6 linked regions of the Ovis aries genome follow. The protein of the gene in region 2 interacts with the protein of the main gene of each other region in a pairwise test. Links are inferred from orthologs where the notes say so. Each region holds a gene or a part of one and is shown on either strand. Other genes may lie near its edges. The genes, in order: PIAS1, SMAD4, RASSF5, DCP1A, ATF7IP and EWSR1.

Region 1 (4,983 bases), on a different chromosome or scaffold from region 2:
AACCCTGTTTTTGCTCCTGGTTCTTCAGAAGTGGCCGTGGGGTTTTTTTGGTCTTTTCATATTGTTTGTCCAGAATTTGCCCCAACTGCACATGTCCGACCCCTCAACACACCCCTACCCTCACCCTGTGTAAGGTACAAACTTATCTCCCCTTAGGGAGAAAGGAAACAAGGGAACCTGTTGTCTGCTCTTGCTCCTCCTTGCTGCGGCAGGGGACCCAATAAAGTCTTGCCTGAAAAAAAAAAAAAAAAAAAGAACTAGGCTCACACCTGCCAGTGGGCTACTCTGAAGACCATTTGCTCTGAATCTTTCACCAAACTGATTCCTTCTGCCCTTCTCTCAACTCTTAGCTCAGTCATTACATCCTCAGGGAAGCCCTGCCTGACCTCTCTCTAGTTCAAAGTGCCCGAGTATACTCTAATATCACCATGCACCTCTTCTTTATATTTCCTGTGACACCGTTCACATTTTTGTGTGTAAACTGGATTTTGGCTCCAAGTCAGGACTTTTTTTTTCTCACTATGTTACTAACAGTTTTCAGTATAGTACATGGAATATAGCATAAATTCTGCAAACTTCAAATGAATTTGTGAATATACAAACTCATATAAAATTGTAATAATCAAAAATATTCTAAAATTGTGCCAGAAAAAGAATGCTAGGCTAAAAAACAATACAGCAAAGTGCAGAAACACACACAGGATAAATAAAAATCAAATATATAACAATGGTTACTTCAGAATTAGCATTTGTCTAGTTAATGGCGTTAGAACTGGCTATTTAAAAAATTAAATTTTTATTTCACATGTAAATTTACAATGGACTAAATATGTAAAGATAAAATAAGAAATCTCAGAAGTCAAGAGAAAATATAAACAAATATTTATGTAAGATTGGGAAGGGCAGATAAACTAAATCCAACAGAGGCTGAGCGGAAAGATGATAAAGAAACAAAACTATGCAACTAGAGATTATCATACTAAGGGAAGTAAGTCAAAAAGAGAAAGAATTGCCATATGGTATCATTTATATGTGGAATCTAAAATATGACACAAACCAACTTATCTATGAAACAAACAGAATCAAGGACATAGAAAATAAACTGGTGGTTGCCAAGGGGAACGGAGATGGGAGAGGGCAGGAGCAGGAGTTAGGGATTTACAGATGCAAACCAGTATATACAGAATGGACAGACAATAAGATCCTACTGAATAGCACAGTGAACTATATTCGATAACCTGTGATAAGCCACAATGGAAAAGAATAAGAATATAAATATACATATCTATATATAACTGAGTCATATATCCTTGATGTATAGCTGTAATTAACACAACACTGTAATTCAAGTATACTTCAATAAAGAATAAATTAAAAGAAAAAAAGAAACAAACTGGTTAAAATTTGGCTCCATAATAATTTAAATCTTCTACACATTAAATAATCACATAAATGAAAAGGCAATAAACTACAAACAAACATTTGCAGCATGTGAAAGAAGGTTAAATCAGTAATGTAAGAACTCATAAACAATAAAAATAAGAAAAACAGCAACAGAGAAACAGATATTGATATATTTTTAAAATGTGAATAATCACAAATAAATTTGTTCAATCTCACTAATAATAAAAGGAGTACTAATTAAAGCAATCTAATACCACTATTTACCTATAAAAATTAGTAGAGATTTCAAAGAAAATAAAACTCAAGTGTTATCAGTCAACAGGCATATGAAAAAACACTGAAAGTCAGAGAATAAATTTTTAAAACATCTTTTGGTAAGGCAATCTGCCAGTGAACACAAAATTTCTTTAAATTCTGATGGTCTTTGATTCAGCAATTCCACTTAAGGGAATTTACTCTAAAGAAAGTACTATGCGTGTATGCAAAGTTAGAGCTATTAGGATAGTCTTCAAAATGTTCTTTGAAGTAAACAATCAAATAAATGTTCAACAATAGGGAACAGGCTAAACTATAGATACTTGTATTGAAATATGATGTAGCTGTTTCATACAGATGAACATGAAATGACATAGGAAGATGTTTATGAAAATACTTAGTGAAAGTTATCATTATAAAATATTGAATATTACAAGATCCCATTTTAAAAATGGGAACATGTTGAAAATTCACTGTGAGACAAAAAATAAATCCTTTGGTAACTCATTTTATACCCATTTTATTTATATATAAGCTCAAGTAGCCACAGAGCTTAACCCTTCCTTATAAAACAAAAGTCTGGAAGAAACAAAAATTTACTCACTCTTCCAATTTCTGCAGTCCAAGAAACAACAATGGTGTTTGGTACAGTTGTAGACAATCGGACAAGTGAGGTGATATTAATTGGTCGGCTGGGTCGCTTTGGTTCCACACCATTTTTAGTAGGTGGAAGATAACCCTAAGGATGAAATATAACATTTCTATTTATTACTTCCACAACCATTTAAACTTCCATTCCTTAAAAAAAAACAACACCCTACAAACTACATATTAGAAAATATGAGTATTTCCATTTAAAAGTGGAGAAGCAAACATTTGTAAGAGTTTTCTGTACGTTTCTCGAAACTACCCTACAGTCTCATTAAAGTAAACCTGAGAAAAATATTGGTGATAGAACGTAAAAATCTGTAAAAATTTAAGAATCATGTTGAATTCATAAACAACTTGGATAAACACATAAGGGCTATTTTAAACGTGAGCAACAATAGCCCCCACTCCTTCGTTAAATGCACAGCAGTCTTCATATCTCCCATCTACCACAAGGTTTCAGACACAAGAATACATCTGAGGTTTGATGAAACAATCTCTTCATCCCAAAATTAAATAAAATACTAAAAGCTACCACACCCAACTCCAAGTCCTAGACTATGTCTCCATAGCTAATGTCACAGCTGTTAATTGGACATAGTTGGTACAAGTGTTTCACTCAGTCACATGAATATACATCCAAAATAAAGACGTTTTCTTAATGAAAAACTATGATTAACAACAGCTGTGATGACTTATTTGCTAGCTATGTTGGGAATGCACTGGAAAAATAGCTTTTAGGACTTACTGGAAGGCTGCAAGGTTTTGTATTCACTTTCACACAAAGATTGGGTGGGAAGTGATCTTCTTGTGGACAACTGGTTTCTGATAAACAAAACCTAAACAATAAAGAACAAATTTAATTTCCTTTATTAAAAGATGATCTCATTGATATTTTTGTTCCATAGCTAATCTAAAAGATGGGCAAACTTAACAGCAACAACTATTAAAACTAGACATTTCATATTACGAATAAATGCATTTAAATAGGATCAAAATAAATAATTTTGTCAATGTAGAGTTTCAATAGTCACAACTACTAACCTGTAGTTGTCCTCATAGTATTTCCAGTCATTTGTTCAAGCATGCTGGCGGGGGTAGGGGTTGGGGGGTTGAGGTGGGGTGCTCTGGGGTTGAACACATTTAAGAAATTTTGGAGAGTAACATGGAACCTTATATTACCATATGTAAAACAGATAGCCAATGGGAATTTGCTGTATGACTCAGGGAACTCAAATCAGGGCTCTGTAACAACCTAGAGGGGTGGTGTAGGGAGGGGGTTCAGGAGGGAGGGGACATGTATATGCCTATGGATGATTCATGTTGATATTTGACAGAGAACAATGAAATTCGGTAAAAGCACTCATTCTTCAATGGAAAAAATTCAATTAAGTTTTCTCTGTACAGAACATCTCAAAGCTAATAAGGACTGTAAATTTTTAAGAGGGAAATGTATGTGTGTGTGCTCAGTCGTGTCTGACTCTTTGCAACCCTATGGATGGTAGCCCACCAGGCTCCTCTGTCCATGGGATTCTCCAGGCAAGAATACTGGAGTGGGTTGCCATTTTCTCCTCCAGGGGATCTTCTCAATCCAGAGGTTGAAGCTGTATCTCCTGTACTGGCAGGCAGATTCTTTATCACTGTGCCACCTGGGAAGCCTGATATAACATATGGTATTTCCCAAACTTATTTGTCTATAATACATTTTTTTGGTTCTCAGCAGAATATACTGAAAATGCTAGAAGTCAAGCTCCAGGATCAAGTTTTGTCCACCAAGTTCAAGTGTTCCATTAGTTCCTGAAAACTGAGGATGTTGAATAACGACATTATTTGTATTATATCCACGTGTTTAGAATACTATTTAGAAACTCACAAAAACATTTATTTCTAAATTACATGGTAATCTTTCAGGAAAAACCAAGACAGCTACATAATTTGTACACTCTCAATCTTTTCATTCTTTTTTTTTTTTTCAATTTGGCTGCACCAGGTCTTAGTTGTGGTATGTGGGATCTAGTTCCCTGACCGGGTACCGAACTGGGCCCTCTGCACTGGGAACGTAAAGGCTTAGCCCCAGGACCACCAGGGAAGTTCCTTACTCTATTCATTCTATAGATTGAGAAATAGATTAATCTGCTATTTAAGACAACAATTCTCAATTACTTCCTTGTTCCCAATATAGAGCTAAGGTTCATCCCACCTTTACAGAATGTTTACAGAACTTTTTGAGTTATATGTTAAGTATGCTATCTCTGAATTCTATGAAATATTCATTGTTTTTACACAAGTTTTACACAAGAAGCACAAGTATCTTCTCTCAATAATCTGCCTGCCATGGAATCTGTGTGAGGGAAGGTCCACAAATGGGACAATTTTCTATATAAAATTTTATGGGTACATATATGGTCATCTTTAAGCAGGGACAATCTATAGTTTCCATTACATTCTCAAAGAGGTTAGAGAGTCATAGAAAGGTTTAGAATTACCAACCTACAAAGATTTTCTCAAAATATACTTAGCACACAGATATCAACACCCACAAGATCATCTCTAACCCCAGCAGAACCTTCTATGACAGGCCAGTTCTTCACACAGCAAAAGTCAGAGGATGCTCCAGTTTCAAATCAATTATACCAACACTGTGGGAAATTAGAAACATGGACCTGGCTGCCTGAA
Region 2 (4,983 bases):
TGTAATGAAACTAAACTGTAAGATGAACAAAAGATGTAAAAACATTTTTTTAAAAAACAGAAAGAAAACAAACTTCAAAAAAGAAAAGGCCCTTACAACAAAAACAAGAGCTTACAGTAATGTCCGGGATGGGGCGGCATAGGCGGGTGGTGCTGAAGATGGCCGTTTTGGTGGTGAGGCAAATTAGGTGTGTATGGTGCAGTCCTACTTCCAGTCCAGGTGGTAGTGCTGTCTAAAAATTAAGGCCCACATGGATTAATTGGCTTTTATAAAGTCTGCCTATTTTTTCTCAACTACTTAAAAGATTTTAAAAAGCATGTACATACTATGATGATAAGTAGCTGGCTGACCAGTAAATCCATTCTGCTGCTGTCCTGGCTGAGGCCCTGAAGCTATCTGCAACAATCCTTCACTATGGCTGCCTGCCAGTATACTGGCGGGCTGACCTAGAGGAACAAGAAGACATTAATATGGTACATTTGTAGATGCAATCCTATGGCTTTACACAGTAAATGAAGGATTTTATACCTGAAAGTCACAACTATAAAGATGAGCAAAGAGTGAAGTCACCCATGGCCTACCAAATAAAAAACCCTGCAGTCATCTATAAAGGCAAACCTTAACCTGAAGAAGTTCAAAATTATTCTAATATCTAGCTAATTTTAGTGGCCCATTCTTCATAAATATTCTCCAAATGCCAGCAAAACCCCAGTACAGGTCTAGCCTATTTTAATAACTTCTTCAGAAGTACATTAGCTCACCCACAGCCACTCCATCTAGCTTTTGCATCTTTCTGTTAGGATTCCAAATGTCCAGGCTCAAGGAAATGTTGAAAATTGGAAAGCTCATTATTATCAGCAATGGTAGCAATAGCAGAATGCTAAAGTTCAATAAAAAAGCAGAGCAGACAAGTATTTTAAATGGAATGTAATGGTAAGGTGAGAAAGTTAAGAGGAAAAAAGGTAAGCTCCACTGTCCGGTTAACGCAGCATCTGCGAGTTTTAATAAATAAACCAAAAAAAAAAAAAAATCAGTCTATTGTGATATTTTCTCATGTACTTTTAAATATCAAGAATTGCCTCTAAGAACACTATCATATTCCTGGATTTACAAGAAATTAGTTGCCCTCTCTGTATGTAATAAAACAGGAGAACTATTCTATTTAAAACCATTCTATGAAATTGCTTACATTTTTAAGGCTGTATCTTTTGTGTGAAAAAGGCTAAATTTTTTCAAGCAAGTATTAAGTCAACTGTGCATCTCACTTGGAAAGCACTAAAATTCCATAATTATTGTTACTGGCATTACCTTAATCTTTTCTCAACCATATAGGAGTATAATCAGATAGAAGGGAGTAAATGACACCATTGCCCAAATATGCAACGAACAGCTCAAAGTATCAAGAAAAAAGAAAACTTTTCTTCCTGCTACAAATCAGATTTCTGTAAGGCTAAGATTATATAATTAAAAGCTAAAAAGACTATTTCAATACTCCCTAAAGTATTTATTTTTAAAGATGATATTTTCAGCAACCTCCCTTCTTACTCATCCCCCTCAAATTTTTACAGGTAATCTTTGAAGGTTAATTGCATATTTCCTCTTGTTTTTAACAACTGTACATGTTATATACTCTTAGCTATCTTACAAAAATTGTCACTATGCAGGAGAATTTGAACTATCTTAATTTAGAAAGAATCCCTGTAGATATTCAGGTTCCAATTGAACATAACGCCCACTACAGTTATCTATACTGAATACTTTCATTACACAATTCCAAGAACATAAAATGAAATTAAAACAACTCATGAAGTCTTTTAATTCCTCTATTTTAGTCATTTCCTTTTTCTAATTTTATCAATATATCTTTTAAGATCTAAGGGAACATTCTGCAACAAATTCTAAAACTTACAGTTAATTACTACTCATTGTGAAAATACATCCAAAAAACACCAAGACAAAATTACCCATATTTCATTTATACCACTTTTTCTGATCTTGACTAGGACTTGGTCCCAGTAACATTAATGGTTAAAATGAAGTTGCATGAGCAATCATCAACAAAGGCATGCCAATTCAATCCTCAGATAGTATCAATAGAGGTAAGTGGCATTAATCTATGCTCAAGTGGCTATAATGCACCTTCTTTTATTTTCCTTCCCCACCCACTCGTTTATCAACTATATTCCCAAACTGGTTAATACAGAGATAACAGAAGCACCAAGTGATTAAAGGTTCAGGCTCTAAAGTATGTGTTTAACCTATATGGTCCAACCTATTTGGAATATGCTGTCTGTATGAAGACTGTCATCTTGTGTAGGAAATACAAAGGATATTATTTGAAAAGGTAAAATAAAGCGGGGGAAATTTGGTGTACTTTATCTGAAATTCAACTGTAGAAATAAATCCTTCATTTGTTCCAAAGATCAAATTTCTATGTTGAACTTGATCTGATATTAAAATAAATAGAATATGCTTCCTTTGATATCAATATACAAAGTATCAGTCCAGATGCATCAATAATTTACTGCTGTTGTGGGCTGAGATACAATCTCCTTAGCACTGATGTACAAATAACACAGTAATACAAATGCCAAGACCCTGTTCTGTGAGTAATTAAAAATAAAACAGGAGCGATGCAGGGTGGGGACGCACTGGGAGACCGGGACTGACACACATGCACTGCGATGCATGAAGCTGCTAACTAGTGAGAACCTACTGCGCAGCACAGGGGCCTCTACTCGGTGCTCTATGGTGACTTCAGTGGGAAGCAAATCCAAGAAAAAAGACAGACATACATGTGGCTGACTCACTCTGCTATACAGCAGGAACTGACACAGCACCGTAAAGCAACTGTACTCTTTTTTTTAAAAAAAAAAAAAAGGCCACTCCACTGTCCAACATAAGGTCATTATTGCCTTGACCAGGCCCCAAGAAAAGCTGAACCTAATAGCCCTCTGCTTCCATGACACAGCAGAGAAGGCAGTACCTCTAAACTGGAAAGAATCTTTTCTTTTTTTTTTTTTTAATTTTTATTTTTACTTTATTTTACTTTACAATACTGTATTGGTTTTGCCATACATTGACATGAATCCACCACGGGTGTACATACGATCCCAAGAATCTTTTTAAAATACACTTCTTGTTAGGAAAAAAAAAAGATACATATAATTTAGCTTTATTTCAAAACTGACTAGAACACTTAACATCTATCCTGAGGGTCATATGTTACAAATAAATTTGTCAAGGTCCTTTTTTCTAATAAGCTTGTACAACTGGAGACTGAGATGACGATTATAAAGTAATCTGCCAGATAAAGCAAAATAAAAACACTGATTAGAGGAAAGTTTGCAATTCCATTAATACAGATTTCTATAAATATCTTGGTTCAAAACTATTTGTTCTCTACTTAAACATTTCTCTAAAATTTATGTGAAAGCTCAATAGACTTCTTCTGCATGTAATAAAGTACAAATTAGACCACTAATTTAAAGCATTATTTAAATTCCAAGGGACTATACATCAACATAAGACGGTTTATGTTCTGTTACATTAAGATACATTTAAACTTTTTAAAATTACAAATATTTTTTTTTTCCAGGACAACTCAAAAACCTATCTGATGCTTGTTAACCCATGAAAGATAACCACAGTACTTTTAATATTCACTTACTCGGACGTCCCCTCCAAGTGACTACCTATAAATATTCAATTGTTAGGAAAATTCATCTTGCTGACTATATCTGACTCTACAACTCACTTGTGGAAGCCACAGGAATGTTGGGAAAATTGGTGGTGCTGGTAGCATTAGACTCAGATGGAGCTAAGAGAGCTGGGGTGCTGTATGTCTCCGTCGATGCACGATTACTTGGTGGATGCTGGATGGTTTGAATTGAATGCCCTTCAGTGGATAATGATGGCTGTCCCTCAAAGTCATGAACATATTCATCCTTCACCAACATACTTGGTGGAGCTACACAGAAAAACAAACATATTTTAAAATCTTGTAAGCTTTTATTCCCAGGAAAAAAAATCTTGTAAGTAACATAAGAACACCTAAAGTCAACTAGAGTGTAACTCAGAATTTTCTCATACTACTTTAAAAGCATTCTACTTTATCAGCAAAAGCTATTTATTTAAAGATAGTGGCATCAGATCAATCTGATTAACTCCTTGAAATCTGAAGGCGACTAAATTACAACCACCTCCGGCTGTGGTCCTGAAAATGTATTTCTGAGCTTCCCAATTAATAATCTAAAGGTAATAATCACCTTAAATATATAACATAGGCAAAAATCAAGTGGCTAGAGAAAGTGTTTACCTCACTAAGAAGACCAAATTGGAGATCGACTAATTAATTTTTTTCCTCTTTTTGCCAATTTCACAGTGTAAAAATATGAGTGGGATCTTACAGCTATCTAATGCCAGGATCTAGCATTATTAAGTAATGTATTCTTTGAAAGTGAAGCATACTAAATGTCCCCTAAAAAATTAGAATGAGCAGAAAAATCTCAAATGGTAAGTCAAACTGAAATTTCCTTCTAGAAACCCAATCCAAATAATGATGCTTGATAAATACGTAGTGTGAAAAAACTCAATAAATAACATCTTTCTCCTGCATGGTTACACCTTAATGTAACCCTGTAAACTGACCCTACTTGATACAACAACTTTTTCTTGAACAAACCAGGAATAGTTAGTCAGCTTTACTGTGAGGAAAAAAAGAAAACTGAAATCGCGTTTACAGTATCAGTGGCCCTGCCCAGAATGGTCCCACTTCCTTTTAGGTAATAGTTTGGGGTTTGCTTTTTATCTTTAGCAAGCAATCCTTTACTGCACCTGAACTAACACTACCCTAAAATTTTACTATCTACTGAACTCTTAACACTAGGTCCTGTTCTTAGAGCAGTCAACGGTCCACAAAAAGCCATTGTCTTTTCCATTAAGAATCAGCATGTAATGCTCCTTATCTTTCTCTATGTCAAT
Region 3 (4,983 bases), on a different chromosome or scaffold from region 2:
GGTCTACATTCAAAACATATTTGTTAAATAAATAAACAGATGACGTCCTGGGACACTCCTTACTTCCTTGACCAACAACCTTCGACTCATACACTAAGGCTTAGAGGAAATGTCACCTCCTCTGGGAAGTATTCCCTGATTTCTCCCAACAGAAACCGCCGCACTTCCCTGTACACTGTCTACTCAGAACACTTGGCTCATACTTTTATTGAAACTCGTATCACAGCATATACTATTTGGTTGTATTTTGCCTCTCCTGCCAGAATGTAAGTTCTCTGAGGACCCCCACTCTTACCAGTGCTTGGCACACAGCAGATAAATCAATGTGTGTTCAATGCAGGAATTAAAAGCAAGGCTCTCCTGTCTCCCTCCCAAAGGCTTGACATCAAAGGTCGAATACATCCTGGTTCAAGTGCCTCGGCAAAGCCCAGAATCAAGAACTGCTTTGGGCATCATCTTCCTGGTCCTCTGACACAGGGAAACACTTGTGCAGTCCCTCTGAAGCTGGCCTGACAACGCACTGCCAGCACCTCAGCGCCAGCACCCCCACTACCCCAGGGCTACGAGGCTTCAGAGGACCCTCAGGAGCTTTCCCTGGGACTCCCACCCCCACCCATACCGCACCCCGTGGCTGGAGCCCTAGGACAAGGCAGGCTCTGTGCCTGGGTGGACTACAGGGCACTTCTCAAAAGCAGCAGGCGTCCCTGCTCCTTCCACCCTGTTCCATGCCCCCAGCCCCTTGGCAAGGGGTGTGCCACCTGCGATTTATCACAAGAACCATATCCTTGGTCTCTCTCCGTTTCCGGCACAGAGCTCCAAAAACCCTTCGAACTTCCCAAGTACAGAGCAAGAAAGATGTTTCCTATGTTGATGAAGTGACTTTGGACCCCACCTAAGGATCAGGAGAACCTACCAAGGGTTAGGATAGGAAGTTTCCCTCCCAGCTGCCAGGCTTCTGGGGACTGGGGAGGGGCTGAAGGATGGTTGCCAGTGGCCAGGGAATTGATCAGTCCTGTCTGTAAAACCCCGAAAGGATGGGGCTGGAGAGCTGGGTGGGTGAACACAGGGAGGTGCCGAGAGAGCAGGGCTGGGAGAGGGCACGGAAGCTCCGTGTGCCTTCTGCCTACCTTGCTGTCCGCATGGCTTCCATCAGGACGTTCCCCTTACATCCTTTTATAATAAACTGGTAATCTAGTGGGCCAAAAATGCCTCTGAGTTCTGTGAGCTGCAGTAGCAAAGTAACTGGGCCTCAGGAGGGGGCTGTGGAACCTGGATCTGTAGCCAGTGGGTCAGGGGCACGGGTGAGAGCACGGCCTTGTGACCGGTATCTGCAGTGGTCATGGCGGGGGTGGTGGCGTGCGCAGAAAGTGCCAGAATGGAGCTGAGTCATAGGACACGCAGTGCAGTGGAGGATTGCTTTGGCGGTGTAGCCACCTGCCCCCTGCCCCATCAGAACTGGGTGAAGAATCTGAGTGTGTGCCGTGGACCTCATCTGGCGAGAAAGGGACCCCCGACATCCGGTGGGAACGGGACCCTGACATCCGGCAAGAACGGGCCCCCGATATCCTGCGGGAACGGGCCCCCGACATCCGGCAAACGTGGAACATCCGGCAAACGTGGAATATCCGGCAAACGTGGAACATCCGGCAAACGTGGAACACCCGCGCACCTCCCACTCACCAGAGCCCGTGGGGGTGAGGGGAGCCCAGACCCCTCAGAGGTCAAGCTCCGCGGTCCGTGCTGCCTACCTGGCTGAAGGTCACGGCGAGGGTGCTCTCTGGAGACGGCCTATCCCGGGAGGCGCCGTCCTGCCGAGCGCAGTCCAACTGGATCAAGCTGCGGCACTCCGGGTGGCAGGTGAATTTACAGTCTGGAGGGAGAGAACCGCAGGGGGATTAGTGGCCAGAGAAACGCCCTGGGGGCAGCATGCGGCTCCCAGAGGGAAGGGCGCTCAGGAGGGCAGCGGAGGCGAGCGGAGGGGAGACCCCAGGGGGGAGTGTCGCTGGCTCCCCCTGCCACCGTGCGCGTGGAGGTGAGGGGGTGCTTTACAGCTCCCAGACTGCTCCCACCTCTGCTGTTGCGTGTGGCCCTGCAACCCTTATTACTGCTGCTTGCTGGCTCAGAGGTTAAAGCATCTGCCTGGAATGCAGAAGACCTGGGTTCGATCCCTGGGTCGGGAAGATCCCCTGGAGAAGGAAATGGCAACCCACTCCAGTAGTCTTGCCTGGAGAATCCCATGGAGGGAGGAGCATGGTAGGCTACAGTCCATGGGGTCACAAAGAGTCGGACACGACTGAGCGACTTCACTTTCACTTTACAGATGGAAACTGGGGCCGGGGGACTTTGATGACTTTCTCTTAGGTCATCTCCCTTCAGGCTGGCGCGCACTCTACTAATTTCTGTTATCCCATTGTTATAATCAACGTCACCTGTCTCTGACCCTACCCCATCTAGAAATGTGTCAGCTTCTCTAACCCGGCTGACACAGCCTAAAGACAGCATCCCAAACTAGGTGCCTCTGGGGAAACCTCACCTTTATTTCCTAAACAATGTTCACGTCTATGGAAGTAAGACTCAACGCCCAGAGTTGAGAAGGGCATAGGGGAATACCTTCAAGATAGGGACGCTGAGGCTCAGAGAGGTAAAGCCAGGTGCCCAGGGACACACAGCTCACTGGCTGGGCCACAGCTGCCTCTCTGGAACCTCCCCGGCAGAAGGGAGGTGAAGCTGAAGAGGGCAGGAGGCAGTGAGGCTGGGACCAGTGAGGGGAGAGGGTGTATGGAGGATGGGAGTGAAACAGGACGGCAGCAAGGGAAGGGAGCACACGCCCACAAACAGTGCCCCGATCTAAGGCTGGCTCCCCCAGACGGGCAGTGCCCCGATCTGAGGCTGGCTCCCCCAGACGGGCAGTGCCCCGATCTGAGGCTGGCTCCCCCAGATGGGCAGTGCCCTGATCTGAGGCTGGCTCCCCCAGACGGGCAGCGCCCCGATCTGAGGCTGGTTTCCCAGGGTGAGCAATGCCCCGATCTGAGGCTGGCTCTCACAGAACCTGCTGGGCCTGCCAGGGTCACCTGTCCTGAAGGTGCGGCAGCTCAGCTGGAAGGCCCAGCTGAGGAGGCGGCCACAGTGTCCGTGAGAAGGCTGCCCGATGGTGATGTGGGCCTGTGGTGGGGGGGTGGGGGGGGGGGGGCGGTATGGCAGCCTGGGCCTGTCTGGGTAACCTGGGGACGAGGAAAGCTTCTGATTGATGAGGCCTTGGCCTCCTTCCTTTCAATAAGCTCCAGAACCTCGGCACATTGGGATTGCCTTCTTTAAAAAAAATTTTATTAATGACTTGTGTGGTTGTGTCGGGAGTGTGCAGCGCTCAGGGTCTTCCTCGCGTCCTGTGGGATGTTTTGTTGAGGCATGCAGACTCTCCAGGTACGGCGTGCCGGCTTCAGTAGCTGTGGCACACATCCAGGGATGCGGGATCCTCGTCCCCCAGCCGGGGGTTGAACCCACGTCCTCTGCATTGCAAGGAGGATTCCGAACTGCTGGGCCGCCAGGGGAGTCCTTGGACATCATCTTAAAGCTGTGAAGCGCTGTGCGGGGGCTGGTGGTGAAGGTGGGTCTCCTCTTCTCCCCAGGCTCTCGGCGGGGGGCAGGGCGGGGTTCGGAGTGAGACCACCACTCTTTAAGCCACCACCTTCCCTTCCGTCCCCAAAGATGAGTGCAGGGACCACCCTCCTTGGACAGTTTCTGCTGTTGATGCCACAGCATAGCACCTGGGGATTCCAGAACTCTGGCGCCTTCTGACTCCATGCTCTGAAGTCCCGAGCACCCTCTGGGATGGCGCTCAGGAGCCCTGCTGCTCGCCTCCCCAGTGCCCGCAGCCAGGCCCACCATGATGCCTCCTCCTTCACAGCCCACCCAGGCCTTCCTGGCCCTCCTCCAGGGAAGCGGTCTCGCCTGTGCAGGGGCTGTGTGGGGCCCACTCGGAGCCACACACCATACCCCTCCCAGTGCCCCCATGCATTCCTGGGCCCCCAGAGGATTCCTGCCCAGTGTGGGGACTACCTCACCCCTGGCAGGGTGGAAGGCAGCGGGGAGGGTGTGCAGGCTGAGTCTCTGCTGCCTGCAGTGCCCAAAAATGCCAGGGCTTCAATAAGGGAGCCCCGAGAAGCCTTGCTCTGGGCCCGCTTCTGGGACACATCTGTGCAGCTCCCGGTGGGCTCAGAGCGTGAAGGATGCTCCGGGGCTGCCAGCCGGTGGGAGCCTGCCAGCTCTGCCCCGAGGGAGGGCTGCCCCTGGCTCCCAAAGGCAAGAGCATCTGGACAGAGGACGCCGCCCTGCAGTGTCTTCTTTCAGCTGTGTCCTGCCAACTCGGGCACCCTGAGTCCACCTGTGCAGCGCAGTCTCTCGGTGCCTGTCTGTCTCTCACTGACACACACGCACACGCGCTCTGAAAAGAGCATCAAAACCACACGGAGATTTACTTACTTTTTTCTTACGGGTCTGATGCTGAGCTGCACAGAGCCAGGGAACAGAAGAGACCAGGAGGAGTGGTTCGGGATTTTATAAAAACACACTTGAGCACCAATGAGTCTGTCCCATCAGACCGCGGAATCACAGACCGGAGCAAGACCACCAAAGCACGTCTTGATATTTCCTGGCCCCCAGAAACGCTAAGCCCAGGGCTTTTAGGCCAGCAGAGATGAAGTCAGAGTCCTCAGGCCTTTCTGCGCACCAGAAGCCGACCCCACCAGCACAGCCAGCAGCCGGCAGGCCCCCAGGGCTCTGAGTACGGACAGTCACAAGGCTGCAAAGGCAGGGCCGTGTTCCACCGGGGCCCACCACTTCGGCCCTCATGGGCCACGTTTCCCCCGAGACGGAAGGAAAGATGTTGGCGCACCCCCAGACGGGCCCTTCTCCAAGGAGGGGCCCGTGTGTCCGGATGGGGAAGGGCTCCTGGGGCACCCTCAGACCCAGGCCGTGCTGGATTCC
Region 4 (5,536 bases), on a different chromosome or scaffold from region 2:
TACTAGACACTGTACACAACTCAAAACTTTTGGGTAGCTGGAATGGGGAAAGAACCAGAGTCTTAGAAGATAACCTTTTAGTTCAGTAATCACAGAATAGTTAGCTCCTGTATTATATTTTTCTCAGTTACGTATCTGTTTTCCTAATATGGGGAAAAGGAAAAAGGCATCTGTTTTAGATTCATTCATTACTACAAAATGTTTTCTATTTTGCTAGGTTCCTAAATAAGTTCTGTTTGATTCTGAATCATAGGAACTATCAAAGAAGGGACATTACTTGGTTAAGATTTCACAGCAAGAGATGGATGAATACTTGGAAGGGTCAAGCAGGAAGTTCCAAAGACAATACAATAGGGCTGAATCACTCTACATGACAATGTTCACCATCAAATTAAAAAAATAATAAGTTTTTAAAAAGCTTACCTTCGATATACAAATAAGGTCCCTTCTATATCGGTCTTCTCCTGTAACAGACAATGAGTCAATTAGTTTTTTCCCCCATAATCTAACCCCAAGTTGTCCCAGTGGAGACGTCATGTTTAAGATTAACTTATTTATTTTAAAATTAATTACTCTGAACAGGTCAAGCTTCTCTCTACAAACTACTGTTACCAGTTTCTTTTGTATCCTTTTTAGTCTATTGATGCATGTTAATTGATATGCAATGTTCTATCCAGCAACATGCCTGTATCTACAGTAACTTTTCTTTTCTTTTTTAAAATTTAAAGGAGAAAAAAATCTAGAATTAGCTTTCATTTTTTAAAACTAAAATGTTTTAGCCAAATTTCTTAATTTTAAAGCCAAAGTCTGTATACAGTCATTACTTCACCTTTAAAGTTTATCAAAGTTAGTAGGAGAAAAAAAAGAAATTTTATCTTACAGGACACTGTTTCATCATTTGGGAGATTCCGGCATATTTTCCTGAGTAGCAAATTTTGTAGTTAGTTAAGAACTACTGTCAAACACAATTAGTTTGTTACTCTTAGACCTTTGTTGAAGAATCATGAGTACTGAAATTCTACTTAGTATAATTTGTATAGGTCTTACAAATAATTTAAAACTTTTTTTTCGCTTAAAGTAAACGTTTTGATTAAAAAAGTACAACTCATCATCTTTCATTTGCTGTGACAAGAGTGTATTTAGGTTTTAAACCGTTAAAATGTTTTGTTTTTTTTTTTAAATTAGTCTACAATTCACAGGCCAGATAGGATCTAAACAGTTTAATGCAGTCAGCAAACTATTAACAAACTTAAATGTTAGTCATATAGAATTGAATTTGGTGGGATGAAAAAAAGAACTTTAAAAGATATTTACCATCTTGATTTCTAACTTAAACATTATCATGGAATTTTTCCTTATGTATTTCTTGCCTTTCAAACTTTATTAATATAATAAATTGGTAATCAATTGCTTCACAATGAAAGAAAATTTACCCAAATAAACAACTGTGTAAAGTTACAAATCACTGCCATGATACAAATGAATAACGGCAGCTTAGTTTTCAATTCAGGTTATTTCAGCTTGTATTTCATTCAGCTTGTATTTAAAGAAGAATGGCACAATTAAAATTCCAAAATATTGGAAGTCTGTGACAAACTAGAAATAAAAGCTTATAGTAATAAGCCCATGCCCCAAATATTCACCATTTGTCTGCAATCCACACTCCAAAAATGTATATGCACAGCAAGAAAAGAAAAATGGTCCAAAACAATTTAAACTAAAGCAATATCTACTAAAACAGTCACACTTAAAAGAAAAAATCTATAATTTTGTTCTGTGTGGCTTGCCATACCTCCTCCTATTCCAGGAGGTGAAGGAAAGACGATACAAAGTAAAGCAAGATGACTCTGAAAACCCTCTGCATCTGATTTAACTGTTTATAAATGCGAAATGATTTTTCACAAAATTAATGATTAAATATAACCCATGTATCTGCATTATGTTGTAAAGAATATATTATGATAATAATCTTTGTTTTGTTAGTACAAGGACTTCAATTCTTATTGAAACGTGAATGTGAATCATTTATTAATTCAATCCAACAAACATTTACAGACTATTTTTAAAATAAAGCCTATATAGCTAAATGAGTTAATCAAGAAGATTCATATTTTTAAGGGAAATGATGTTACGTTTATTTATATTTTATTTAGCCACTTGCGTGGCTTGTTAGATCTTAGTTCTCCGACTAAGGATCGAACTCTTGCCCCCTGCAGTTGAAGCGGGGAGTTCTAACCACTGGATCGCCAGGGAAGTCTCGAAATTCTGACATGTAAACAACAACCGAAGCTTCAAAGCGGCTAACAAATCAGTGAACTAACTGAATGTAACTTTTCGCAACCTCTCTCGTGCAAAAAAAGGCAAAAAGTACTTAAGTCTGATGCGCGTATTCAGAGGTGACATCACCAGCAGCATAGCTGAAAACACGAGGTCTCTTGTCCAAAGGTTTCAAGGTAACAAAATTAACATGCAAGCCCTTTTCCTAAGTGCCTTGAAATCTTTTCCAAACTCTGGAAACACAGTGTAGTTTGATAAATGCGGGACGTATCCCCACCCTCTCGCCTTTCCAAGAACTGAAACTAATTGGAATTCAAGCTTTAAATCCTAATAACCTCTGCGAAGGGGGTTCTGATTTATCTATCTGTTGGGGGGAGAGGAGTGTTTACTTTATAGATTATGTATACATAATTTATCTAACAACTCTCAAAGCTTCAGACAATCTTACAGGCGTCTTTCTGACTCCATCGGTCTCAAATCCTCCAACACACCTGCAAAGAAGGCAGGTCGCCCACATCCTCGAACTGGACCCCTGGGGACTAATCCTTCTTCAACCCTCCCCTCTATCAGCGTTCCCCCCGGATGTTTGGACCTACTTCCCTCTCTCCTCTCACCCAATCCCCAGCGGCGCCGACACCTCTCAGGCGCCGGCCAGGCTCTCCTCCAGTCCCTGGCCTCGCCTCCGCCACCGTGGCCTCCCGCATCGCCCCCTACCCAGGTCGGTCGGCGCGGCCCCTTTAAGAGACGGCGGCCGGGAGAGCGACTTCAGCCACCTGGCTGCACTCACCCACTGGTTGGCCTTGGGGCAGAAGGTGTACAGTGCGACCTGGCCCGTGAGGTCTGCGATGCTGGTGATGTAGGGGTCGTGTTGCTTCAGGGCTGCTAGGCTCATCTCTTGCCCAGCTCGACTCAGCGACTCCATCTTGAATTCTGGAGCCGAGCCCCTCTGGCGGGGCGGAGTCGAGGACAGGAAGGTGCCATGGAGGCAAAGTTCCCCCAGCTGCGTCAGCGCCCTCAATTTCCGCCTCTCCACCGGGCCTCGCGGCCGGGCGGTACTGCAGCTATTATGCTCCGCTGAACCTACGCCCGGGGCACCGGGTTCCGGTGTCGTCAGGTCCCAGTGGACTAAGGTTCGAGGTGGGGTCCGCCGCCGCGTGGCGGAGCAGAAAGGCCTGGGCGCAGGTTCTTCTTTTCCGCGGGCTGAAAGGTACCGGCGCTCTGAACAAGGCTGCTCTGGAGCTTTCTCACCGTTCCTGCCGGATTAGTTTCCCGTGGCCGCAGACTGGAAACCTAGCTGCGTCAAGGCAGGGCTCCAGGGGCGATTTAGAAAACAGAAAAGCGGGGAGAAACGGGGTGGGGGTGGGGTACCTCGGAAAGTACCCCAGATCTCAGATCTATTTGTGTTTTTATAAAGGAAGTTTTTGAAAAAGCCAGACTAGCCTGTCTGTAATTACACAGAAATGTCTTTTATTGTCAACTTATTTTCTTCCTCTGAATCCCACGAAAATCTTTATCCAGTTTTGGAAAGAACCCTTGAAAAGTTGTTTGCCGTGCATCATTTAAAGCTTTAAAACGGTAACTCATCCTTTTAGCAAACATCTGCTTAATATTTTAAGGCATTTTAAAAGAGCCAGTTACTAGCTAAAGAGTAAAACAAGGTGTGGAAGATAAAGGGAGCTCTGCCCCTTCCCCCGCCCCTCCCCCGATTTGTTATAAAAAACCTTTTCTTATACTGAAAAGATAACCGAGAGGTGTCTGTGGCGGCCCAGTGGTTGACTCCACCCTTCCAGTGCACGGGGTGCAGGTTGAATTTTTTTTGACTGAAAAATACTATTGACTCTAATAGTTGTATTGTTTATGATTTTACATCCCGAGGTCGTTATCGGAAAGATACTTAATGTTTTACATTGTTGGCAGAATCACGTTACATGTACAAATGCAGAAAAGGAAACATATTCATTTACTGTTTCTTTAGCAAGTATTTTTGTTAGTAGCTCAGCCGTATCTGACTCTTTGTAATCCCATGGACTATAGCCCACCAGGCTGGTCTGTCCATTGCATTCTCCAGGCAAGAATACTGGAGTGGATTGCCATTCCCTTCTCCATCAGTTCAGTTCAGTCGCTCAGTCGTGTACAATTCTGTGCCCATGAACAGAAGCACGCCAGGCCTTCGTGTCCATCACCAGCTTCGAGAGTTTACCCAAACTCATGTCCATTGAGTCCGTGATGCCATCCAACCATCTCATCCTCTGTCCTCCCCTTCTCCTCCTGCCCTCAGTCTTTTCTAGCATCAGGGTCTTTTCAAATGAGTCAGCTCTTTGCAACAGGTGGCCAAAGTGTTGGAGTTTCAGCTTCAACATCAGTCCTTCCAATGAACACTCAGGAATGATCTCCCCCAGGATAGACTGGTTGGATCTCCTTGCAGTCCAAGGGACTCTCAAGAGACTTCTCATTTCAAAAGTATCAATTCTTCGGCACTCAGCTTTCTCTATAGTTCAACTCTCACATTGATACATGACTACTGGAAAACTAAACAGACCTTTGTTGACAAAGTAATGTCTCTGCTTTTTAATATGCTGTCTAGTTTGGTCATAACTTTCCCTCTAAGGAGTAAGCATCTTTTAATTTCATGGCTGCAATCACCATCTACAGTGATTTTGGAGCCCAGAAACATAAAGTCAGCCACTGTTTCCCCATCTATTTGCAATGAAATGATGGGACCAGATGCTATGATCTTAGTTTTCTGAATGTTGAGCTTTAAGCCAACTTTTTCCCCTCTCCTCTTTCACTTTCATCAAGAGGCTTCTTAGTTCTTCACTTTCTGCCGTAAGGGTGGTATCATCTGCATATCTGAGGTTATTGATGTCTCCCGGCAATCTTGATTCCAGCTTGTGATTCCTCCAGCCCAGCGTTTTTCTTGATGTACTCTGCATAGAAGTTAAATAAGCAGGGTGACAATATACAGCCTTGACATACTCCTTTTTCTATTTGGAACCAGTCTGTTGTTCCATGTCCAGTTCTAACTGTTGCTTCCTGACCTGCATACTGATTTCTTAAGAGGGAAGTCAGGTTGCCCTTCTCCATAGCAAATATTTATTGACCTCCTGCTTTGAACAGGTATCCGCTTAGGATGCAAAGAACTGACTCATTGGAAAAGACCCTGATCCTGGGAAAGATTGAAGGCAGGAGGAGAAGGGGATGAGATGAGAGGATGAGATGGTTGGATGGCATCACCAACTCCATGAACATGAGTTTAAGT
Region 5 (5,489 bases), on a different chromosome or scaffold from region 2:
CATCTTTACCCAATGTCAAAATAAACTCTATGCAGATGCAAACCTATTTTTTAAGATAATTAAAACACCTGGAAAAAATAAACAGATCAATCATTTAGTTCCTCTTATAACAAGTAGTATTTTTTATGCAGAGAAGTCTTGGAAAAATAATAAATAAAAAGCAGTGCATATCACTACATTAAAATACAACAATTCTAAGTAGGTAACACCATGTCCAAATCTGCAAACCAATAGATTGTAGACAGCCAGGTTCTTCCATCCATGTAACATTCTAGGCAAGAAATACTGGAGTGGGTTGCCACTGCTACTCCAAGGGATCTTCCCAACCCAGGAATTGAACCCATATCCCTTGTGTCTCCTGCATTGGCAAGTGGATTCTTTACCACTGTTCCACCTGGAAGCCCATAGCAATTGTTTTAAAAAATTTAACTGGAAAAAAACAAAAAAACTGCAAAAAATATGAAAAGCAATTTTCATATTCACAAATAACTGTTACAAATAAGAAAAATATTAACATTTACCCCAAAAAAAGATACACAAAATATCCTCAAACAGCAAAGTCAAGAAAAATGAGAAAGTTGCATATATATTAAATGTTTATAAGTTCAATTTCACTAGTTACCAGGAAAAAAAGTAAATAAGCTGCTGTTTCTCAACCACCAAAATCATGGTGGCGTGGGAAATGCTTTTCAAAAAAACTAAGTTTTTATCTATTTTGTAAATTATTTTAAAAGCCCTTTGAAACAGCAATTTCAAAGAAATAAGATACAGACTCTGATTCATGTACAACATATTCACTGTAACTTTATTTATAATAGAGAAACGCAAAATGAACAAAATATTCAATAAGGAAAGTCTTAGTACATTCTTATTAAAAACACTGGTATTTTGTGGCTGTTTAAAAATGTGTTTCAAGAACATTTGATAATTTAGGATATTTTCACAAAATGAATATCATGCAATCATTTTTGAAAAACATACTTCTAAAGAACAATGAAATGGATAAATATCCACAATATAACAATAGGTTGTGTGTGCATGCTCAGTTGTGTCCAACTCTTTGCAATCCCATGGACTGTAGCCTGCCAGGCTTCTCTTTCTATGGAATTTCCCTGGCAAGAATACTGGAATGTGTTTCCTCCTCCATGGGATCTTCCCGACTCAGGGATCAAACCCATGTCTCCTATACATCTCCTGCATTGCAAGCGGATTCTTTTCCACTGAGCCACCAGGAAAGTAAATAGCCACAATACGGCAGTATGTGTGTACGCATGTGCTTAGGTTAAGGGGCAGGAATGAAATTATGATCCAAAAGATAAACTAATTGATCAATCAATAAATAGGAAAGTCACAAAAACATTTAGTGTGTTTATTTCTAATTAACTTTTGACACCTTCTAAACGTGCTAAAACAAGTAAAAAGTTTTAAATATCAATATTAAAATCACAATTTAAAGAAAAAAACTTTAATGGCTTTGGCTTAAGTATTCAAATCTTTTTTTCCTGAATTTTTTGTTTAAAATGTACAAATCTAAAAGGATTTTAATTGACTCCCAGTAACAGAATTAATTCAGTATTTATTCAATCTTAATAGTAACTTAAATTCCAAATCATGCCTGTTATTCAGAGTACTAATGAACAAAAAATATTAGACGTTCAAACAGTACATTATTCTTAGTTTAAGTTTATAGAACTATACTTGCCTTTCTAACCAATGTGCCCATCACTACAAAACAGCAAAACTGTCTTACCAATACATATTTACCTAGTTCGTTATGTTCTTCAGTGTTGTCAAGTGCCTCTTGTAAGCTTCAACATTAACCTGAGGCAATCATTTGTATATGCAAATGAAAACATAAGTTTAAATATATAAAACAAAATATTTCACTTTTCTGAGAAGTGCAGAATGAAACATGTTCTAGACAGAAGTTCTTTTCTTAACCTAACTATGTACGCATACACAGACACAGAAAAAAACATGTTTCAACTCTTAAATATTTGAAATTATATCTGGAGATGGAAGGGGTGTGCTGGGTAATCAACCTGGAAGCATAAAAGGGGGGAAAAAAAAATCACACAACTGCCCTCTAAATATATTTCTGTGTAAAAGACTTGGAGGTTCAAAAATTATATCACAACAACAAGTACTCTGTTCAGAAAAAAAGAATTATTTCTATCACTGCATTCTATGCCCTGTGTGATGTCATTTTTTAAAAAACCCATCAACCAAAAGTATTCCTTTCAACTACATCTATTTAAATCTTATTAACAGTACCTGTAGGCAATAAAGTCCCTAAACCAACGAAGATTATAAAGCGACAGCCACTTCTTCATTTGACAAGTGACTAATTTAAGAGTTACATAACCAAGAAAACAGTTGTTGCATATACAAGACAAAGATGACATTTATGACAACCATTTACAAGTTTTCAGGCCAGTAAGAAATAATTTGCACAATGGTAGAATTCTATTAAATCGTATAAAACTTCTCCCAAAGGCTTACCTAAGATTTAAATATAGTGACACTACCATTTTAAACTAAAATAATCAGGATACTTTAAGAAACTAAAACCAGGAACAGACAACTTTAAAAACCAAACACAAACTGTATCTTACACACATTTATATATAGCAGGCTGTTTTTTTAATCAACTGATTTATTGATGATTCACAATCTCCTCATAAAGGCCTCAGGGTAGTTGGGAGTTCTTTGTAGAATTCTTTATCAGGAAAATTTACCGAGTTTGAGTTATATTTTACATATCATTACAATTTTAAAAGTCAAAGTAACAAATATAATCTAACTGAAGCAGTACTAGACATGCAATCAAAAATAGAAAAAATGCAAGCAAGGTCAGAGGCACACCACTGATTAAAACTCCACCGACTGAAGATCCAATTATTTAAAAAAATATAAACACTTAAGGAGATTAAGATTTCTTTTTAAAACATTATATAGATTCTTTCAATGTCCCCTCCCTCTCATATTTCCAAACCTCAAACTGTTCCTATTTTGAAAACATTCCATAATAGAACTGGTAAGGATAGGGTTAAAAATGTATTTGCAAATATGCAGTTCAAATAATTGCACTTCCCGTGAGAACACCACTAGGTGCTGATCTTTAGCTCCCTAAATATAAACGTGAATCCAGCAATACACTTAAAGTGAAATTAAAATCGAGAACCACAAATGGACAATCATTTTTACACAAAATTAAGTCCACAGCTTCTCAGAAAATAGGAGAAATACACACACACAAAAAAACTCTCAGGTCGCTACAGGAATACAGCATAAGAGAAACGTTTTCTTTGAAAAATATAGAAATTCCCGTGTAACAAAACGAAACCCCTCAAGAATGAAAAAAAATTAAATCTAGAACCCGAATGGCGTCCAAGAACATTAGATCTTGAAAATGAATATTGCGCTTGCGCAGCCACCGCCCCGCCAGCTGCACAACTGCAGCTAGAGCCCGACCCCGCAAGATCACGTGCTCCCATGCAGCGCCCGCCCGCAGCTCCGCAACCGCGCAGGCGCAAACACAACTCCCGCAGCCGCCATAATGCGGTCTTGACTCTTAAGAAATACAATAGTAATTTAACAAAATGTGGTTATAACAGCCCCTGGGACTCACATATACCTTTCGGGGCGGGAGATGAGGCAGGAGGAACCAAGTTCCGTCCTACAGAGTCGTCCCGCGCAGCCGTCCCCACCGCTGCCGCCTCAGTCTCGCGCTCCCCACTCGCCGCGCCGCCGCTGCCTCCGCCGCCGCCTCCGCAGATTCAAAAACAAACCCGCTTCTCCCTTGCACGCGCCGGGGCCGTTATGCAAATTATTGTAGGCGGGGCTCCGTGGTCGTAATATTGGCCACGCCCGCCGTGCTTTCAGCCAATAGGCTCCCGGATTAGCTGTTCCCCATGCAAATCTCCAGGGTTTTTATTTGAATGAGAAATATTGGCCCCGCCTCCTGCCGTGGAAAAGAGAAGCTAGTCTGAGGTGGTGGCGCTGCGCCCTTTAGTTGCAGTGAGGTGTGTTTTTTGAGTGGCGCATCGCTCAACCGGTGAGTAGCACTTTGTGAGCGCCCTCTATGAGCCTCAGTAAAGAAGGAAGGAAATAGGTGGGTGAAAGTTAAAAGAGCTAGGGCAAGGTTTTCGAAAAAGACTATAGCATGTTACTTTATCGTGTATATTAAAAACTCGGAAAATATACTTTAAACTGTGTAAGTCACGAGAGAATGGCGCAAACATCTTTTTTTTCAGTTGTTCTCTGCCAGAACAAGCGCTTCCAGTTGTACCTTTCAACCTGTTGTATCCCTGTTACTTAGTTTTTTACTGTGAGCCAAACCCTCATGAAGGCCACAGAGTGCAATTAAAAAAAAAAAAAAAAGCTGCTCGTGTTTTTTGAAGAATCTGGGCTTACGTCCAGTTACTCCTGCTTACTTGCTTGTTACTTGGAATAAGTGTTAGTCAGTTTTCTCATCTCCAAAATGATAATAACTGTAATTCAAATCAGTTGAGGAGGCTAAATGATTGGATAAATGTAAATGTGTTCTGCAAAGCAAAAGCAGACTGACAAATGGATAGTGAGGTTTTTTTTTTTTAATATCATTAGTAAACCGTGATGCTTAATCTATTCATTCAGTATTTATTTAGCAATGAGTGTGTTCCAGACCTATATTACTTTGCCTGTCTTTAAGAAATCTCTACTACAGTGGAGAAGACAAAAAAGTTAACAGGAAGTTTTTGTAAATAATTAGAAATTAATGTGGGGTGGTTAATATTTATTTCTATAATTTGATTCTGTCCTTAGCACAGAATATAGTACACTAGTGCTCAATATATTACAAATAGAGGCTCAATTATAACAAATTATGTATTATAATTTAACACATAGTGCTCAATTATAAAATAGATGCTCAGCAAATTACAAATCTATCAATATTTAAAATTCTATAATAAGAAATGAGGTTGGTATAGTAGAGTTCATTAGCTTTCTCTTTGTCTTCTATAAGCAACCAAAAAGGAATAATTTTCATAATAGTTCATTCTTAATTGTCTTGGCTAATGACAAATACTTGAACATGAACTCACCAATTGGGCAATTTTCTTTCTTGCTCATATTCTAGACTTGCCACCCCAAAACTCCACTTAGTTTTATTGTATTTTAATCTTCCCCCATATATCCTCAATGACATGTTTATGGGCGCTTTAGCTATTCTACCTGCTGATTAATCTAACCAATCATTCATTGTTTCAATCAACAAGTACATCGTTTATTCTTTATTCACACACTTTCCGAAGCACTAGAGATGCCCAGAGGAAATGACACTGCCTCTAATCAGGAAGGAGTCATATATACAGATTCCCATTATGAGATCATTACAATCATGAGGTTATATACTAAAAATAAAAGAAATATAAAACAAGAGAACATAAATCTTCTTGTGGAATGTAGGAAAACTTCACAGAACAGGTGATACTTGATCTGACTCA
Region 6 (4,983 bases), on a different chromosome or scaffold from region 2:
GAGAAGCCTGTGGGGAGAGCCACAGGGTTTCCTATGGCTTCAGCAGAGACTTCTCAGAGAAAGAGGGAACACCCTCTACTAGCAAAATCTAGCAAAATTAGTAGAATGATTACTTCTGGAGAATTGAAATGAGTAAACTTAAAATTGGTTTTGCAATTGAAAAATACTAAGGAGTCTAAATGATTGGAGATGTGATGATAGTGATTTCAAGTGTCTACATCTATTTAAAACATCTGTAAAGAAGTGAAACCTTTATAATGGAATGATATTCTCCAAATCAGAAGATTGATTCTACTTTATACGAAATTACTCATAAATTTTTGCATCTTATAAAATGACTTTCTTCCAATAAAGATTTCACTAAAGACTTAAGTTATGCAGAATATGCAAAACAGTATTTTAAACCAGTATTTCAGCAGTAAACAGATTTAATATAAAATTTAAAAATCAATTATATATTTAATCTTGAAGTACACTTCTAAAGAAATTATATTCAGTTTTTCCTTGAACCAACAGTGGCACCAAATCCAATTTATACTTATACCAACATTCTGCATAACTTTTTTTCACTAGTTTATACAGGGACAGAACACACACAGAACTAAGCCTTCTGGATTATGTTAACCAACATTTCACCTCACCTTCATCAAAGTAGAGACACCAGAAAGGGAAAAGGGTGCGGGAGGAGGGAGGGGAAGGGCGGGGTAGCAGGTTCACGTTACTCTAGACAAAGTTTTCTAAACCAGGTCGTTCCATCCATCAAAATGGTCAAACCGATTTAGACTTCTCAAAATCTCCACTGGGGAGAGTGATTCCACAATTATATACATTACTCTGCACAAAGCTACTAGACTTCTCTGTACACCAGGTGCACCTCAGGCCATAGTTCAAGGGTTATGGGACCAAGATCTTCATCATTATGTTCAACAGTTCCAAGTATAAACAGAAGTTGGGGACAAACATTGTGGAAAACAGCTGCATTCCTTTTCTGCAGTATATACACCACGTATTTCAAGACAATCATTCAGAAGCAATTAGTCAAACACCTAAGGTTGTTAGAAGGGTTGTGTGTGTTCCATCCCAAATCTATTACCCAGGAGGCTTTTGACCTCTGGAAACCAGGAAGGGGACTGAAAGCTCTAGTTTCAAAACCATTCTTTGTTCTCCCCAACCCAACCAAGTCAACTGGCATTGAAAAAAGCAAACTGCCTCTATAGATATGCCACAGAGATGACATTTCCATGTTTGCAAGATGGCTTGGGCTCATCAGACTATCCATGGAAATGCAGAAATAAATTTCCTATGTCTTTCAGTCCCTTCTTTCCACTGAAAATCCTATGGATGAAACAAAATTAGGTAAAAGGAGAAAAGGTTTGCTCTTACCCCATTCCACCGCGTCCTCCTCCCCGCCCACCTCTGCTCATGCCTCCACGATCAAATCCCCCTCTTCCCCTGCCCCGGTTATCAGGGCCACTCATGCTCCGGTTCTCTCCTGGTCCGGAAAATCCTCCAGACTCCTGCCCATAAACACCCATGCTACTGGGGTGGTCCTGTCGGAATGAACCTGAGGAAAGAGTCACATCTGTAAGCCATGGATCAGCATTTACACCACTGCTGTTGTACTTTCTCCTGGAATCATAGAATTCTCAAGTGCAAGGCACTAACCGAGGTATCATCTTCTTTACATCTGATTAAGTCCCCCATCAGTAAGCTTTTCATAAAGTTCAACAAAAAAGGCTGAAGTAATCTCATATAGTTTGCCTAGGAAAAAACCACTCTCAAACAAAAACAGGACTCTGACCAACAGTTCACAGGGTTCTGTATCCCAAGATGCCTTAAAAAACTGGTCTTTAAACCATACTCAAACAAAAATGGAGTCAGGTTTCTTGGGGTTGCTAAGGGGTCGTCTCCATCAAGAAGCACGACTCATTGTCATAATGAGACATACTCATGGGTGCATTTTAAAGACAACAATCCAGGCAGACTAAATTGTGAAGACAACTTTTTGAATTTTTGGTTACTTTTCCACATAAATTAACTGTAAGCATTCCACAAAAATTTTTGTCTTATGAATGTACACAAAAAAATCAAAATACAGTATCTTTTAAACTATCAAAACTTCGAGAGTCTTCAATAGCTACCTGCTCACGCTCTCTTAATGAGCTGGGGTGGGCAGGCCATATGAAAAGCTGGCTTCACTCACTGCATATAACCTCCCCAGAGAGCAGGGCTGGCAGTCTGAAACTTTTTCTCTGGTCAGTTACAAACTCTCTTTTCTCCTAAGGCATGCTAACAACAATTAAACTGGAGAAAAGCCAGGATTATTAGCCAGGATATGATACCCTCAAGATGCATCCTGGAGTTCAAAAGCACACAGTGGTAGAGTGTTTCCCCGTTTCAGAAACTCCAAACACAACCATTCTTATTTGGTTTTCTCTCTTAGCAACTCACTCTGCTGCCCGTAGCTGCTGCTCTGTTGACTATATTGACTTGGAGCCTGGCTGTAGGATCCAGTCTGGGGGGGGTAACTAGTGGGTGGCTGCTGCCCATAGCTGCTTTGCTGGCCATAGCTACTCTGCTGCCCGTAGCTGCTCGGCTGCCCGTAGGTGTTCTGCTGGGAGTAACTGCTCTGATCGTAACTAGTCGGCTGCGTAGAGGAGTAGCTGAGAAAAAACAAAACAAAACAGTTTGTTAGGAGAGACTTGTTATTTTAGGTCCCCTAAATGTAGGAGACGTTCCCAGCATGTGCCATAGAAACTCTTAAAACTCCAGTTACTTTTTACATATTAACACACTGAACTTAAAATGAGCAAGTATTTTTGTATTTAAGTTCTGAATAGGAGAGGGTATTATACCACACACACACACAAAACAAACCCATCTATAAAATGTACAACCTTAATTAAGAGTCTCCCCCTTTACCACCCCCACCTTTACTGAAACAGGGCTTCCCAGGTGGCATGGCAGTGGAGGGTTGGGAGGCTCCACCTGCCAATGCAGGAGACACAGGTTCAATCCCTGGGTCAGGAGGGCCCCCTGCAGAAGAGACGGCAAGCCGCTCTCGCACTCTTGCCTGGGAAATCCTACGGACAGAGGAGCCTGGCAGGGCCATGGTGTCGCAAAGAGTGGGCCATGACTGAGCACACACACGCAAGCACACGTGCTCATCAGAACAATAGTTATTCTCAACCAAACTCAAGGCACGTTTGGGAGCCTAGGTGCTTCCTGTATTAAGGGAAGACTGTGCTCCCAGGGAGGCTGACCCAGGAAACGGCACCGAGAAAAGTGAGGCAGCCCGGTATGGTGCTCAGTCCCCAGGCTGCCTGCCCACATCATGCCCTGGAGTGACGGCTCGTTTTCTGAAGGTACCAGGCCACCTGATGTGTGTCTGGGTGGCCACTTTTTTCCTGAGCCTAAGTTTCAAGTTGCTTTGGTGTGTACATAGCTCCTGACTTCCAGACATGCCTGATCGTCTATGAATCTGGGCATTAATAAGGAAAAGATGGACAAGGAAACATCAGACTCAAGGTACTGTATGAAAAATGAATATCAGACTGATATTCACCTTCACATATGTCAACTAAAGGGAAGGGAAACTAACCAAAGATACTCTTACACAGAAATAAAGCTTGAAATATTAAACTTTAGATGAACCATGACAGTGAAAAACAACACAACGCATAATACAATTTTAATTCTAACTACAATGATTTTAAGTATCTGCACCTCCCTTACCACAGCTGTAAAACGTTATTTGCGCAAACGTGTCCAGCTCTCTGCAACCCCATGGACTGTAGCCCACCAGGCTTCTCTGTCCATGGGATTCTCCAGGCAAGAATACTGAAGTAGGCTGCCATGCCCTTCTTCAGGGGGATCTTCCAGACCCAGAGATCAAACCCGGGTCTCCTGCATTGCAGGCATATTCTTCACTGTTTGAGCCACCAGAGAAGCCCCTGGGAAGCTGTAAGGACTCAAAAGCCTCTCTTCACACCAAGCGCACCTATTCCACTTGCCAGATTCAGTGCTCTCAACGTGACAGGTGTGGGTGGGCCCTTGGGAGGAACTGCTCGAACCCTGCCCCCTTCTACTCCAAGCTGTACAGAGACACTTACCAGTCAGCTGTGCTTGCTTATACATAAGCCAATGAAATGAATACAAAAAGGGGCAATGTTAATTCTATCAAAACCAAGTTAACACTAGAGGACACAATTCAGACAGTTCATTTGAAAACGCAACAAAAAAATAAATCTGAGACAACCTGTTTTTCCTCTACTTTAAAGAAACCAAAACCGGACACTAGTTGCTGGTGCGGCTAATTAAGACAAAAGGCAGAACGATGAACTCTTTAAGCCAAAAAGAAAGGCCTTGGCCTAGCCATCAAGACTGGTGTGAGAATGGATCTTTAAGTTAAACATAAAATGATTACGGTAAACTTTTTTTTGAAAAAATAATGCCCTGCAACTTGACCCATCTCAACTGCACCTGGAAAATGTGACTTCCATGGTTCTCTTTATCTGCTTTCATGCCACTGTTTCTCATCTGAATAAATTAAAAAAAAAAAAAAAGTGGTAAAAATGTACTGATATTTAGAAGTGTTTTTTGACTGAGGTTTTAATGTAGAATATGTGGTCAGGCTTATCCCTGGGAGTGAGGCAACACAGTTCACCTGAGGAAGCAAAAGCAAGCTGGTCAACAGCCTGCAAAAAATCTGCTCTCTTATTCCACTAGCTCACTGGCCACAAGAGCAAGCAAGAAAAGACTGACCTGGTAGGAGGATAGGATGGTGGTGCCGAGACTGGCTGCATGGGGTAGCTCCCAGGTACCTGGGGATAACTGTAGTTACTCTGTCCGTATCCTAGGCTGGGCTGGTTGTAACCCCCTGTGCTAGACTGAGGTTGACTAGTCTCAGCGGGTTTGTTACCATCCTGCGGTCTAAAAGGAGAAATAAACAAGTGAGACTTTTCTCTTAACACCAAACTCTTG

The links.
Region 1: the proteins of SMAD4 (region 2) and PIAS1 interact in a two-hybrid assay, tested with the Homo sapiens proteins (2 studies listed by BioGRID and IntAct). The link is inferred for Ovis aries from reciprocal best matches to the Homo sapiens genes SMAD4 and PIAS1.
Region 3: the proteins of SMAD4 (region 2) and RASSF5 interact in binary tests that used the Homo sapiens proteins (3 or more experiments, as listed by UniProt). The link is inferred for Ovis aries from reciprocal best matches to the Homo sapiens genes SMAD4 and RASSF5.
Region 4: the proteins of SMAD4 (region 2) and DCP1A interact in binary tests that used the Homo sapiens proteins (3 or more experiments, as listed by UniProt). The link is inferred for Ovis aries from reciprocal best matches to the Homo sapiens genes SMAD4 and DCP1A.
Region 5: the proteins of SMAD4 (region 2) and ATF7IP interact in a two-hybrid assay, tested with the Homo sapiens proteins (2 studies listed by BioGRID and IntAct). The link is inferred for Ovis aries from reciprocal best matches to the Homo sapiens genes SMAD4 and ATF7IP.
Region 6: the proteins of SMAD4 (region 2) and EWSR1 interact in binary tests that used the Homo sapiens proteins (3 or more experiments, as listed by UniProt). The link is inferred for Ovis aries from reciprocal best matches to the Homo sapiens genes SMAD4 and EWSR1.

What each region holds. Positions count from the first base shown.
Region 1 is NC_056060.1:14,946,953-14,951,935, reverse strand, and holds part of PIAS1 (E3 SUMO-protein ligase PIAS1), read right to left. Parts: intron 3,147-4,983; coding exon 3,056-3,146; intron 2,399-3,055; coding exon 2,264-2,398; intron 1-2,263. UniProt on the Homo sapiens protein: Functions as an E3-type small ubiquitin-like modifier (SUMO) ligase, stabilizing the interaction between UBE2I and the substrate, and as a SUMO-tethering factor. Catalyzes sumoylation of various proteins, such as CEBPB, MRE11, MTA1, PTK2 and PML.
Region 2 is NC_056076.1:50,873,488-50,878,470, reverse strand, and holds part of SMAD4 (mothers against decapentaplegic homolog 4), read right to left. Parts: intron 3,971-4,983; coding exon 3,758-3,970; intron 447-3,757; coding exon 327-446; intron 233-326; coding exon 116-232; intron 1-115. UniProt on the Homo sapiens protein: In muscle physiology, plays a central role in the balance between atrophy and hypertrophy. When recruited by MSTN, promotes atrophy response via phosphorylated SMAD2/4.
Region 3 is NC_056065.1:4,133,076-4,138,058, reverse strand, and holds part of RASSF5 (ras association domain-containing protein 5), read right to left. Parts: intron 1,871-4,983; coding exon 1,749-1,870; intron 1-1,748. UniProt on the Homo sapiens protein: Potential tumor suppressor. Seems to be involved in lymphocyte adhesion by linking RAP1A activation upon T-cell receptor or chemokine stimulation to integrin activation.
Region 4 is NC_056072.1:47,748,177-47,753,712, reverse strand, and holds the start of DCP1A (mRNA-decapping enzyme 1A), read right to left. Parts: upstream 3,210-5,536; 5' UTR 3,200-3,209; coding exon 3,065-3,199; intron 465-3,064; coding exon 424-464; intron 1-423. UniProt on the Homo sapiens protein: Necessary for the degradation of mRNAs, both in normal mRNA turnover and in nonsense-mediated mRNA decay. Removes the 7-methyl guanine cap structure from mRNA molecules, yielding a 5'-phosphorylated mRNA fragment and 7m-GDP.
Region 5 is NC_056056.1:201,118,583-201,124,071, forward strand, and holds the start of ATF7IP (activating transcription factor 7-interacting protein 1), read right to left. Parts: upstream 3,825-5,489; 5' UTR 3,638-3,824; intron 1-3,637. UniProt on the Homo sapiens protein: Recruiter that couples transcriptional factors to general transcription apparatus and thereby modulates transcription regulation and chromatin formation. Can both act as an activator or a repressor depending on the context.
Region 6 is NC_056070.1:68,576,644-68,581,626, reverse strand, and holds part of EWSR1 (RNA-binding protein EWS), read right to left. Parts: intron 4,933-4,983; coding exon 4,765-4,932; intron 2,664-4,764; coding exon 2,452-2,663; intron 1,565-2,451; coding exon 1,384-1,564; intron 1-1,383. UniProt on the Homo sapiens protein: Binds to ssRNA containing the consensus sequence 5'-AGGUAA-3'. Might normally function as a transcriptional repressor. EWS-fusion-proteins (EFPS) may play a role in the tumorigenic process.